Caenorhabditis elegans: one gene and its partner. The protein of the gene in region 1 interacts with the protein of each later gene in a pairwise test. Each region holds a gene or a part of one and is shown on either strand. Other genes may lie near its edges.

The links. The genes of interacting proteins can lie anywhere in the genome.
Region 2: the proteins of golg-2 (region 1) and ces-1 interact in a two-hybrid assay, tested with the Caenorhabditis elegans proteins (one large-scale study listed by BioGRID).

What each region holds. Positions count from the first base shown.
Region 1 is NC_003280.10:5,036,056-5,042,111, forward strand, and holds golg-2 (Golgin subfamily A conserved domain-containing protein), read right to left. Parts: upstream 4,037-6,056; 5' UTR 3,980-4,036; coding exon 3,923-3,979; intron 3,868-3,922; coding exon 3,676-3,867; intron 3,630-3,675; coding exon 3,555-3,629; intron 3,469-3,554; coding exon 3,373-3,468; intron 3,324-3,372; coding exon 2,355-3,323; intron 2,299-2,354; coding exon 1,288-2,298; intron 1,244-1,287; coding exon 926-1,243; intron 878-925; coding exon 809-877; 3' UTR 503-808; downstream 1-502. Other genes in the region: lrr-1 (PIF1/LRR1 pleckstrin homology domain-containing protein), read right to left, coding at 46-207, 261-371; F33G12.7 (uncharacterized protein), read right to left, coding at 4,226-4,323, 4,374-4,461, 4,508-4,624.
Region 2 is NC_003279.8:8,632,217-8,636,686, forward strand, and holds ces-1 (C2H2-type domain-containing protein), read left to right. Parts: upstream 1-1,680; 5' UTR 1,681-1,732; coding exon 1,733-1,808; intron 1,809-2,123; coding exon 2,124-2,427; intron 2,428-2,478; coding exon 2,479-2,560; intron 2,561-2,660; coding exon 2,661-2,740; intron 2,741-3,503; coding exon 3,504-3,688; intron 3,689-3,742; coding exon 3,743-3,828; 3' UTR 3,829-3,953; downstream 3,954-4,470. Other genes in the region: cpn-1 (Calponin-homology (CH) domain-containing protein), read right to left, coding at 4,157-4,399, 4,444-4,470.

The sequences.
Region 1 (6,056 bases):
CAATAAAAATTATTATTTTTATATTGAAAAATGCTTTACACGTACTTTACTGATGCAAACCATCACAGCAGGAGTTGTTTGAAATGTGATAGTGGTTTTTCCTTGAGCAATAAATTTGTCGAGAATAATTGGCGGCTTGTTGAGCTCGAATTTATTTCCAGTTTTGTCACCGGCCACGGCCACTGTTATCTGATATTGTGGAGGGGTCTGGAAATATTTTTTTGTTTTGTTACATATTAACTTATGAAAATTTAAATTACCTGTCGAAGTTTTTGCAGAATAACAAATCCTTTTTGCGATTTCGTGGGTTTTGGATTAACTCCGGCATTTGCTTTATAACGTGCAAAAACCACTTCACATGGTAATCGCATTTTTTATTGAAATCTGGAATAAGCAACTATTGGTAGTTTCTTTGTATTTGAAAAGCAAGTCTCTGAAAATCAAAATAAGTTTCTGGAAAATCAAGTTGAACCCGATAAAAGAGCACTGGGGAGAGTTACATTTTAAAGTTTTTACATTTATTCCCAAGAAGAATAATTAACGAAAAAATAAATAATAATTACCATTTGCTTACCAACTAATCGGACTTCAATAAAATTAATAGAAAATTGTCACTTATAAATATCACAAATGAACACAGGAAGTGATTGGGGGATGAAAACGATAATTTAAATAAGTCAGCGGGAGAGTCGAAATTTACAAAAAAAACGGGGACTGGAAACAATAAAGAATAATAATTAGCTAAAAGTTGTACCCACATTATAAGCTAAAAGAAAGTTTACAGTAAAGTCATTATGCACATTTTTATTCAGAGTTCTTGAAGATCTCCAATGCATTGTGTACAGTGGAGTTGTCCAGCGGGTAGAATTTGGGGTCTCTGTAAAGATATATTTGGGAACGATGAATCAAAGAATATTCTACTTACACTGATATCAGAAATAATTTCCAAAATTCGTCTAACAGATGCATCTTGGGTTTGCCCGAAAGTATCACTATTATCTTTGTCAGCAGAACAATCCGATAATCGTGGACTATTTTGAGCTTCCAACACAGTTGGTGGTGGAGTACTTGGAATCTTCTCATCATCACTATTACCATGTACTTTTTCACGCTCTGGAACTTCTTCCAATTTGGCGTCCACCAAAACATCTTCGTCTCCGCTCATTTCATCAACTGTCGAATGGCTATAGCTTCGGGAAACTCGGCGAGCTGCTTTTCGGGAGATTGAGCTTGTCTGGTATTCCTAAAAATTAGCTTGTAGGTATTACAGTTTCATAGATTAATTACCTTTAATACTCCACCTTTGTTAAGTACAGTCATTAACACATTTTGCAGTTCTTGGCATCGTGCAACAGTTTTCGTTCTGTCCTCTTCCATAGCCTTCAATTGTTCATCTTTTACACGAAGCCTTTCACGAACCAATTTTCTCTGATGCTGATAGAGAACAACGTGATCAGCAATTGTGTCATTTTCGAGTTCTAGCTGCTGGTTGATGTGCTCTAATCGATCAATTGTCTCAACGAGTTCAGCATTCTGAAGCATTGCTCGAGCGAATCGTTTCTCTAATTCTTTTCGTGCCCATAGATCTTCATGAAGCTCTCTAGAAGACTGCTGATTTTCAGCTTCTTCTGGAACCTTGGTTTCTTTCAACTCCAGCTGTTCCTGTTTGCTTTCGAGATCTTTCCGTTCTTCCTCTGCTCTTCTATCAGCTCGTTCATCTTCCAATTGTTGACGGCAATTATTAAAAGCTTCTCTGAGTGCTTCATTTTCGGCATGAAGATCCTGAACTCTGCCAACTGCTTGAGTGAGCTCAACGTGAATCGAATTCTGATTCTCATCTTCTGCATTTTGCCTCATTATTTCGTCCATTTGTTCATTATGAGTGTTACTTCGTCTCAAATCAGCACGGACCAGTTGAAGTTCATGAGTTTTCAGCTCTAAATCGGATCTGATTTCTGCATTTTCTCTTTGAAGCGTTGAGATATTTTCTTTCAATTCTTCATTGAGTTTCACGATTTCTTGAGATTCTTCACGTTGTTCTTGACTTGCAGCAGATTCTTGTGATGCTTCGAGATGAGGTTGTCGAGCGATTACTTCTGACAGATTACCAACAAGACCCGCGGTTTCTAAATTCAACTGCTTTGTCAATTCCCGTACTTGATGCTCAGCAGATTGTTTTGCAAGCTCGACATCTGCTTTTTCTTTCGTAAGAGTAACAAATCGGTCTTCCGTTTCCAAGAGACGTTCTTTAAGCTCTTTGTTTTGTGCCACTGCGCGGGATACGGTCGCTTTTTCGTTCTGTAAATTCGAAAATTTGAAAAATCAGGGAAAAATATTGAAAATTGTAAATCTACCTGTAGTTGCTCTGAAAGAGACAACAAATCAGCTCCGTTTGCAGTTGACTCTAACGTTCGTTCTTCCAAAAGTCGATATTTCATTTCAAGTTCTGCCAATGACTGTTCTCTTTCGAAAATAACTTTGTCTTTTTCTAGAATTTCTTCTTCTCTGCGTTTCTGATCATCCTCACTTCTTCGTTCCCACTTCCCTCTTTCAACGAAACACGCTTCACGAATCCGTCTTGCTACATCTTCTTCTGTGATAGTTGGAATTTCATCATGCCTCTCAGAAACATCCATATTCATTTGAAGCTTCTGCAGTTCAGATTGAGCAATTTCGAGTTGATTTTCGAGATGTTCAACTTGATCGTTTGAAGAAAATTTTTGATTATGCAAATGCTCGATTTCTAAAGCCATCTCTGCTTGCTTTTGTTGAAGTGCATACTCTCGATCAGCATAGTGAGCTTTTAATGTCGCAGATTCGACGAGAAGACGTGATTTTTCAGCTTTAACGTTCTCCAGCTCACGTTGCAAGTTTTCATAATTCGTATTCTCATTCGGAATCCCTCCCGGCGGTCCTGTGGCTCCAAGTTGTTTCAAATAAAGATCTTTCATTTGAATGTCTTTCATGAGCTGACTGATGCGATTTTCTTGAGCCGCCGTTTCTTTTATCATACTTTTCACACGTGCTTGTGCTTCACTTCTCTCGTGTTGAACATTTAGCAGGTTAGCTTGCATTGATGCAACTTCTCGTCGAGCTCCTTCTAGCTCTTGATGACGTGCAGTTAATAGGGAATCTTTTTGTGCAATTGCTTCATTGAGTTTTCGAATTTCGTTTGACGAAAGTCCAGATGATGTTGAATTGCTCATTTGGTTGGCAATGTTCTCTGCAGCAGCCAGCTTGTGTCGAAGTTTTTCGATTTGCTTGTTTGCCTGACGAAGATCACTTTGAGACGAAACTTTCTCTTCAACCATTGCAGACAATGCCTGAATACTCCATCATTAAATTAAAATAAATAAAACGAGTAATCCTTACATTTTGGAGTTGGACAATTTGATTTTCTGTATCCACATGTATTCCATTTGCATTGACTTGTGAATAAGCGGAATGAAGTTGGGAGTAATGGGCACACTAAAATGATTTTTTTTTTAATAAAATCATTATTCATATAATTAACGAATTAGTTTTTGTATTTGTCAATTTCTCATTATCCTTACCAATTCGTCATGCTGGGTCTTCAATTGTGTATATGCCTGATACCATTCGTTTCCGTTCGGTTGAAATGGTGAAGCCTGAAGAAAACATTTACTCATTTAACGATGTTATCGATTTTCTCACATCCAATCCATTTCTTGCATTCAAACTTTGTGCAGAAGAAGATGAGTGTGGAATTTGAAGCGCTGTCGAATCTTCACTGACAACGCTGCTCCGTCCATTTAAACCTGCTCCAGCACCCGGCTCTGATGAAATGATACTTGATGCAGGAGAATTACGTCCATCGAGTCTTTGACGTGCTTCAAAGTCTTTCAGCTGTAAAATTTACTCTATAAACTTTGTTTTAATAAAGTTTCCTCACGATTCTCACCTTTTTCCTGGCCGCTGCCAGCATTTCAGCTTTGGCAGGTGCAGCGGCATCGACCATATCACTGATTAATCCAGCTTTACGCCGAAAAACAGTAAAATCTATCGATTTTAAAAGCTGAAAATGAAAAAAGACGTGGAAATTAGTGGTTGGACGCAAACACCGCAATTGACGACATAGCGCAGACAACAAAGCGAGTTCGCAATGAAAGCAGCAGAAATTCACACAAAAAAGAAAAAATAATAGGTTTATGTACAAATAACTAACGAAACTTTGGAAATAAATGCTAAAAAACAACCGAGCAAATTAGAAAACTGGAGGCTTGTGATCAGATGAGACAGGCGAATCGGTTTGCCCCTTGGTGAGCCAGGCAAGAGGTTCTCGTGTGAACGTGCGGTATGCTTCTAGAATTAAGTAGTTGAAGATAACATTTTAATTGAGAATATCAACTCACTAGCCCACTTTGAATCAGGATTGATCTCATCTTGGAAGTAGGCATAAGAAAATATCAGCATGCCTACTCCAAATGCGATTAGGGAGTTCTGGAAAATACTTAATTCGTTTTTAAAATTGATTATCAAAATAGACCTCTCTAAAAGAAAGCTTCTTTCCTCCTTTAGGTAACTGATTTTCCGTGATTTCCTTCCATTCGGCCTGCCCGTCTTTTCTTCTGATTAAAACACGCAAAATCCGAGTCAATCTCATCTGGAACAAAATCTGTTTTATTTTCTGCCTTTTTATTTGTTTTAAAAATTGGAAACGAAAAGGACAAAGCGAGAAGTCAAAGTCTTCCAGTAATTTGATATTTTAGAAGGAATTGAATTGGTCATGGAATTCCGGAAGGGGACAAAATATTTTTAAACGGACATAGGAAATGGGGAATTTTATGAAGCAAAATATATGTTATATAATCGAATGTATTAAATTTGAAAAAAATGTGAAGAAAATTAATAAAAAAATACTAGGAAAAAAAATATCTTCAAAAATTTTTGATGAAAACGCGCCCCATTGGCACTTACTAGAGACACAATACGCAGGAAAACGAAATTTATGAGTACATAGAAGTGAATATTGGAAAATGTTCTTCAAAACTTTTCATGACAGTGTTAAACTGAAAATTAAAAAGAATGGTGATCATAGTAGCAACGAATTCATATGAGATATATGTAAAATATTTAAAAATGAAGGATAAATGAGGAATATATAATTCCCGAGTGTGGAGGGGTACTGTAGGAGAACATAAACAAGCCTATTATCTCTGTATACTGTAAAGCATTAGAATACACAAGCAAATTTGAAGATTATATTTTGGTTATTCGCTCAGTTTTTAAAAATATTTGGAAAAACACTGATACGAGTTTCCGAAATTTTTGAAGACCAATTGTTCAGTACCTAGAAACCTTTCGGAAAAATAATCAATGTCATTACTGTAGTTCTCTGAAAAAATGTGTTATCTGAAACTGTCACTTGCATATAAAATACGACCTTCCTCCAAATCACGCTCTGAGCACAATCGATCTTTCTACTCCAGCTGTGTACATGGACGGACATAAAGGACAGCCGTCAGTGTCACTTCCGCGCCACTTTTTTCAAATGTTTTATGCAAGTTTTTGGTTTAGTTTTGTTTCGAATTTATTCCCAATTGAATTGAATTCGTGACTGCAGAAGAAAATCGAATCGAATCTCCTTTTTAGCGACTCGGATATACCCTGAATTTTTTTTGGAGTACTGTACTATAAACTTTCTCTCCACTTCAGCAATATTTATAATATCCTATAGGAGAACGGCTACTTTCTCGGAACAAAAATATTTCTACAAAACTATTTTTTAATTTTTGCGCAAATGAATTAAGAATTCTCCTTTGGCGGCTGCGGTTATATATTAATTCCAAACTTGTATAGAAAACACACGAAGTGAGGTAAAACCTATTATTATTCAGTTTTTCACTCAAAAATACAGTCCTTGATCTTGCTACGACCGAAATATGTCCGTCGAGTACACGGTAAAGTAGTTTGCGCCTCTAAGGAGTACAGTAACCAACTATGGGTTACTGTAAGACTTATAGGCGCATACATTTTTAACAGATTCAATTTGAGAACATTTAAATAGTTCGTGGCGAGGCCAAATATCGTAATCT
Region 2 (4,470 bases), on another chromosome or scaffold:
AAGCAGCAGTGAGGTATTTTTAAATAAAAAAAATATATCTCTTCTTTGTCACTACTTTTTATGTTCGTAAAATGAATCCATCGTTGGTTTTTACAGATGATCTCAAAATTTTCTAAGGGTATGTTAGTAATATTTTTCAAAGTGAAGGGCCTTTGTGACAAACTTCTCGGCCATCCTGTTGGAGTCCTAAATATATTTATTTTTAAACATCAATCAGCAAACTCTTAACAACAAGCATGATTTTTTTGAACATTTAGAAAATTAGATAAAAATTTGGATTCTTTATTTGCAGAGTCTTAGCTCTTCAGTTCAACGTTCCAAATTTCAAAAACCAAAAAAAGCATCTCAATTGAACAATTGTTGGCATGTTGTACAACAAAAAGGTCGAGAGGTGTCTGAAGTGACACGTGTCTTCCTATAAATTGCACTTGATAGACTGTAATGGGTACTGAGATTGAAAACACCTGTTTTGAGGGATATGGACACTTGGTACATATATGACTACTACATTTTACAGTCTTTAGTGAGATAATGTGGACATATGTTTGTGAATAATATGATGTAACTTTGAGACGATTCAGATTATGAATTCCATTAAAAATTGCAGTGCAAACCTTCAAATAATTTGCAGTGTTGTGGAAAACGGTAAAAGCATTATAATCATATATGAATGTCCCTCTCAGCCTTTTTAATAATAATTATTAAAAATAGTGTAACTCTGAAGAGGATAAAAATTAAGGAAATTTGGTCGGGATATTTTTTGTTCTAGAACTGTATTTTAGATCTAAAAAAACAGGTTGGAAAAATCTCAATTAAACATTTTTTAATGTAAACTTTGGTCACTTTAAACTTCATGCAAGATGCTGTCAAATATTCTAATTTTTATTTCTAAGGTCTTATTTTTCAATTTATTCAGTTCCAACTGATCAAAAAATCATTTCATTATTTGTGTAGTTTGTGTTTTGTTTCATGTATCCGAGGTCCAAAGTATTTCCAATCACTTTTTAATTGAAAAATCCAGAGATTATCCGCTTATATTCACAAATGTTCAAATTGATATATTTGGAGCATTGAGCACAAATAAACCTACTATTTAGTCACTAGAAAATAGACAGACGGCGTTGAAATTAGGTATGATGTAACAGGTCATGAACTGTGTCACCTGTCCCATCTGCCTGCATGATTGAGCGAGCTTAAACGGTGAGAGTACTGTAGATGGCTTATTGACAGATGAACAAAATTTGAAACTTTTTGAATCTCAATTTTTGAGATATAGCCACAGGTTTCTGTGTTGATGGTTTTCCACAGTTGAGCTACAGTACTCAATTTCGAGAGAAGCATCTACATCTACAGTTTTTCATAATTTCAAAAAATTTCCTACTTGAAATAATTGTTTAATAAAAAGTTATGTATAAAAAGTAATAATTGTTATGTTTCTAAACAAAAATCCATGTTTTTAAATCCTCTAATTTTACAATTTTTCATTGACTAAATATCAAAACGTGTTGTAAACTCAACCATAACCGCCTCAGCCATTATATTTCTAAAATAACCTGTGTCCCTCTTGGGACCACCTACTGCGCATGTCTACCAGCTTGTTGGAGCAATTCTTGTGGTTCCGCCTCTTCGTGAGCTCCGACCAATCAGATCGTCTCATTAAGACCACGCCCAGTCTTGTTAAGCTCAACAGATTTTGTGTGTAGTTCACAGCTTGATTCATTTCTGATAGAATATGATAACTACCCCGAATATTAGTTTAACACCAACTGTTGCTCCTCCAGTAGATTTCCCCATAATTGGCAATTGTGGTGAGTTATTGAGTTTAATAGGTTCTTGATATTTCGTTAATATTTTTTGGTTTTGGAGATTGTGTCAAAATATTGTATTTTTCCTATTAGTCTTGCACCCCCATTGCTCCAAAGTGGCAGCTCTTATTTTGGATCTATCAAAAATTGTTCAATAACAAAAATATAAAGAATAATGTATCTGACACCTATATTTACTGTTCCACAATGTTTTAAAAAAAACCAGAGACAACCGAGATAAAAACAGTCAAAGTTGAGCAAATGTTGAGCAATCGGTGGTGATACTTATTTAACCTTTTAGTCCAAATTTTCTTTCAGATTTTCAAGCCCAACTATGGCATCTAATGAGTCTACACCTACAAATGCAAAAGTCTTCAGCTGCATCTACTTCGTCCTCTTCTAGTTCGTCAACGTCCTCTGAAAATCTGAAGAAATCTCCATCATCTGTACAAAATACCTCTGTATTCTCAATAGACAATATTCTAAACTCTCAAAAAGTTCCAAAACTAGAATTGGAAAACGATGAAGATGTATCTTCATCTCCGTCTCCAACATGTTCTACCACTGGATATACATTGGATTCACTTCAAAATTTGGATAGAAGAAGCTTGAATAAAAAAGGGTTAGTGAAGTAATTGAAACGGAAGAAGACTCCCGTATAACTTTTTTTCAGACCATCCTCTCATAACAGATGTGTATGTGACAAATGTGGGAAAAGCTACGCAACAACTTCCAATCTCAGTCGACACAAGCAGGTAGGTAAAACAGTGTTTTTCTGACAGCTATGACATAACATATTGCTTCCTTCGTGTTCCTGGATTGAGAATTCTTTTGTTTTGAAAGTAACAATTTCAGACGCACAGAGCTTTGGATAGTCCACATGCCAAACAATGCCCTCATTGTGATCGAGTCTACGTCAGTATGCCTGCACTAAGGTAAGAGCTTTACTTTTCAAAAAGTATTATTGTATTTTATAATGAGAAACGTGTAAAACTGAGGAATTCGAGTCAATAACTTTCAGAAGTGAAGTTTTTGAATTTCTTAGAAAAAATTCTAAATCTGGTTATTACGCAGGCGCAAAATATTGTCATTTTTGAAAAATACGGTACCCGGTCTCGACACGAAAAAATTTGGTTAAATGCAAAAAGGTGTCCCTTTAAAAGAGCATCAACGAGAGAGTTTGAAAAATACAGTACTCTCAAAAAATTGTCGTGTAAAGACCAGGTACAGTACTTTGGGCGCAAAATTGCAATATTTCGCGTATAGGTAATACGTTTTCACACCAGAGTTTATTTGAAATATCGAGCTAACTCAGTTCAAAGAATAGAGAATCATTACTTCCAAATAATATCCAGAATGTAATTGAAACCACGTTTGTAAGGTTAATCTCCTCAAGCTTTCACTTCGTATTATTTAATCACCAACAATTCGCACCTGCCTTATTCTCATCAGAAGACAATCTTCCGATTGCGCAATCACCACCTGTACCTGTATTTCTTTGCGTCAACACACATTGTACACTATTGTAGTTAGGCGGATAATAGAAATTATATAATACATGGTAATAATAAGAATTCGATGGAATTAGTAGTGAAACTAGCAACCAGAAAGCTGGGGCTAAGTGTTCACAATCTAGTAGAGACTTAGGATTGGACGTTAACTTTTTCTCCTAGTTTTACAAGTTAAACTGAATTTCAGCATGCACATTTTAACACACAACGCTTCTCATGAATGTAATGTTTGCGGGAAACGATTTTCGAGACTTTGGCTGCTCCAGGGACATCTTCGTTCTCACACAGGTCTTCGGCCTTTCTCTTGTGCTCATTGTGGAAAATCATTTGCTGATCGGAGCAACTTACGAGCGCACATGCTAACTCATACAGGTATTTACGCATATATTTTCACACCTAACAGTTCTTCAATATTTGTTGTTCCAGGTGACAAACGATTCGAATGTGATAAATGTGGTCGTCGATTTGCCCTGCGAGCTTATTTAAATCGTCATTTGGAAACGTGCAAATGACATCCATGTTCAACCAGACCTCAAGCTCTTCTAGTCATTTGCAAATCGTCTAGTCTCATATTGTAAAATGCTTATTTGCCTACTTACAAGCTTTATTACAATACAATAAATAATTTGGACAAAAATTCTACACAAAAACATGGAAATCATTATGAGTTGTATGTTGGAACCGATGAAATTTGGAGAAGCGAATTGAATTTTCTAGAAGTGCGTGGCTTCCAGATCGATTACAGTACACTTGATAATTTGGACATATAAAAAAATGAATAGGAAAATTTCACGTTATGATTACCAGAACCGGTTGAGAATGTAGGGAATACGTTGGAAATTACATGTGGCGGGTGTTTCCCATGTTAAGTCCTGAAGCAGTTGCCCCTTTGTTGCTGCCCATTTGAAGACCAATCACGTTATGTCCAGCTTTCAATTGCTCATCGGTCCATTCACGACGATCTCCTTGAGCTTCCTTCGGTCCGAGACCAGATCGACCGAAGTTCTTCTCAGACTTTCGTGCCAAAGAAGCGAGACAGATGAGGACAGCATTTGGGTCCTGTCCTTCGTAGAGATCAACAGTCTGAAAACAATTGATGTCATAATGTGTTTAGTGAAAGGACAAACCTGGAAGAGTTCCGACTTTTGCACATA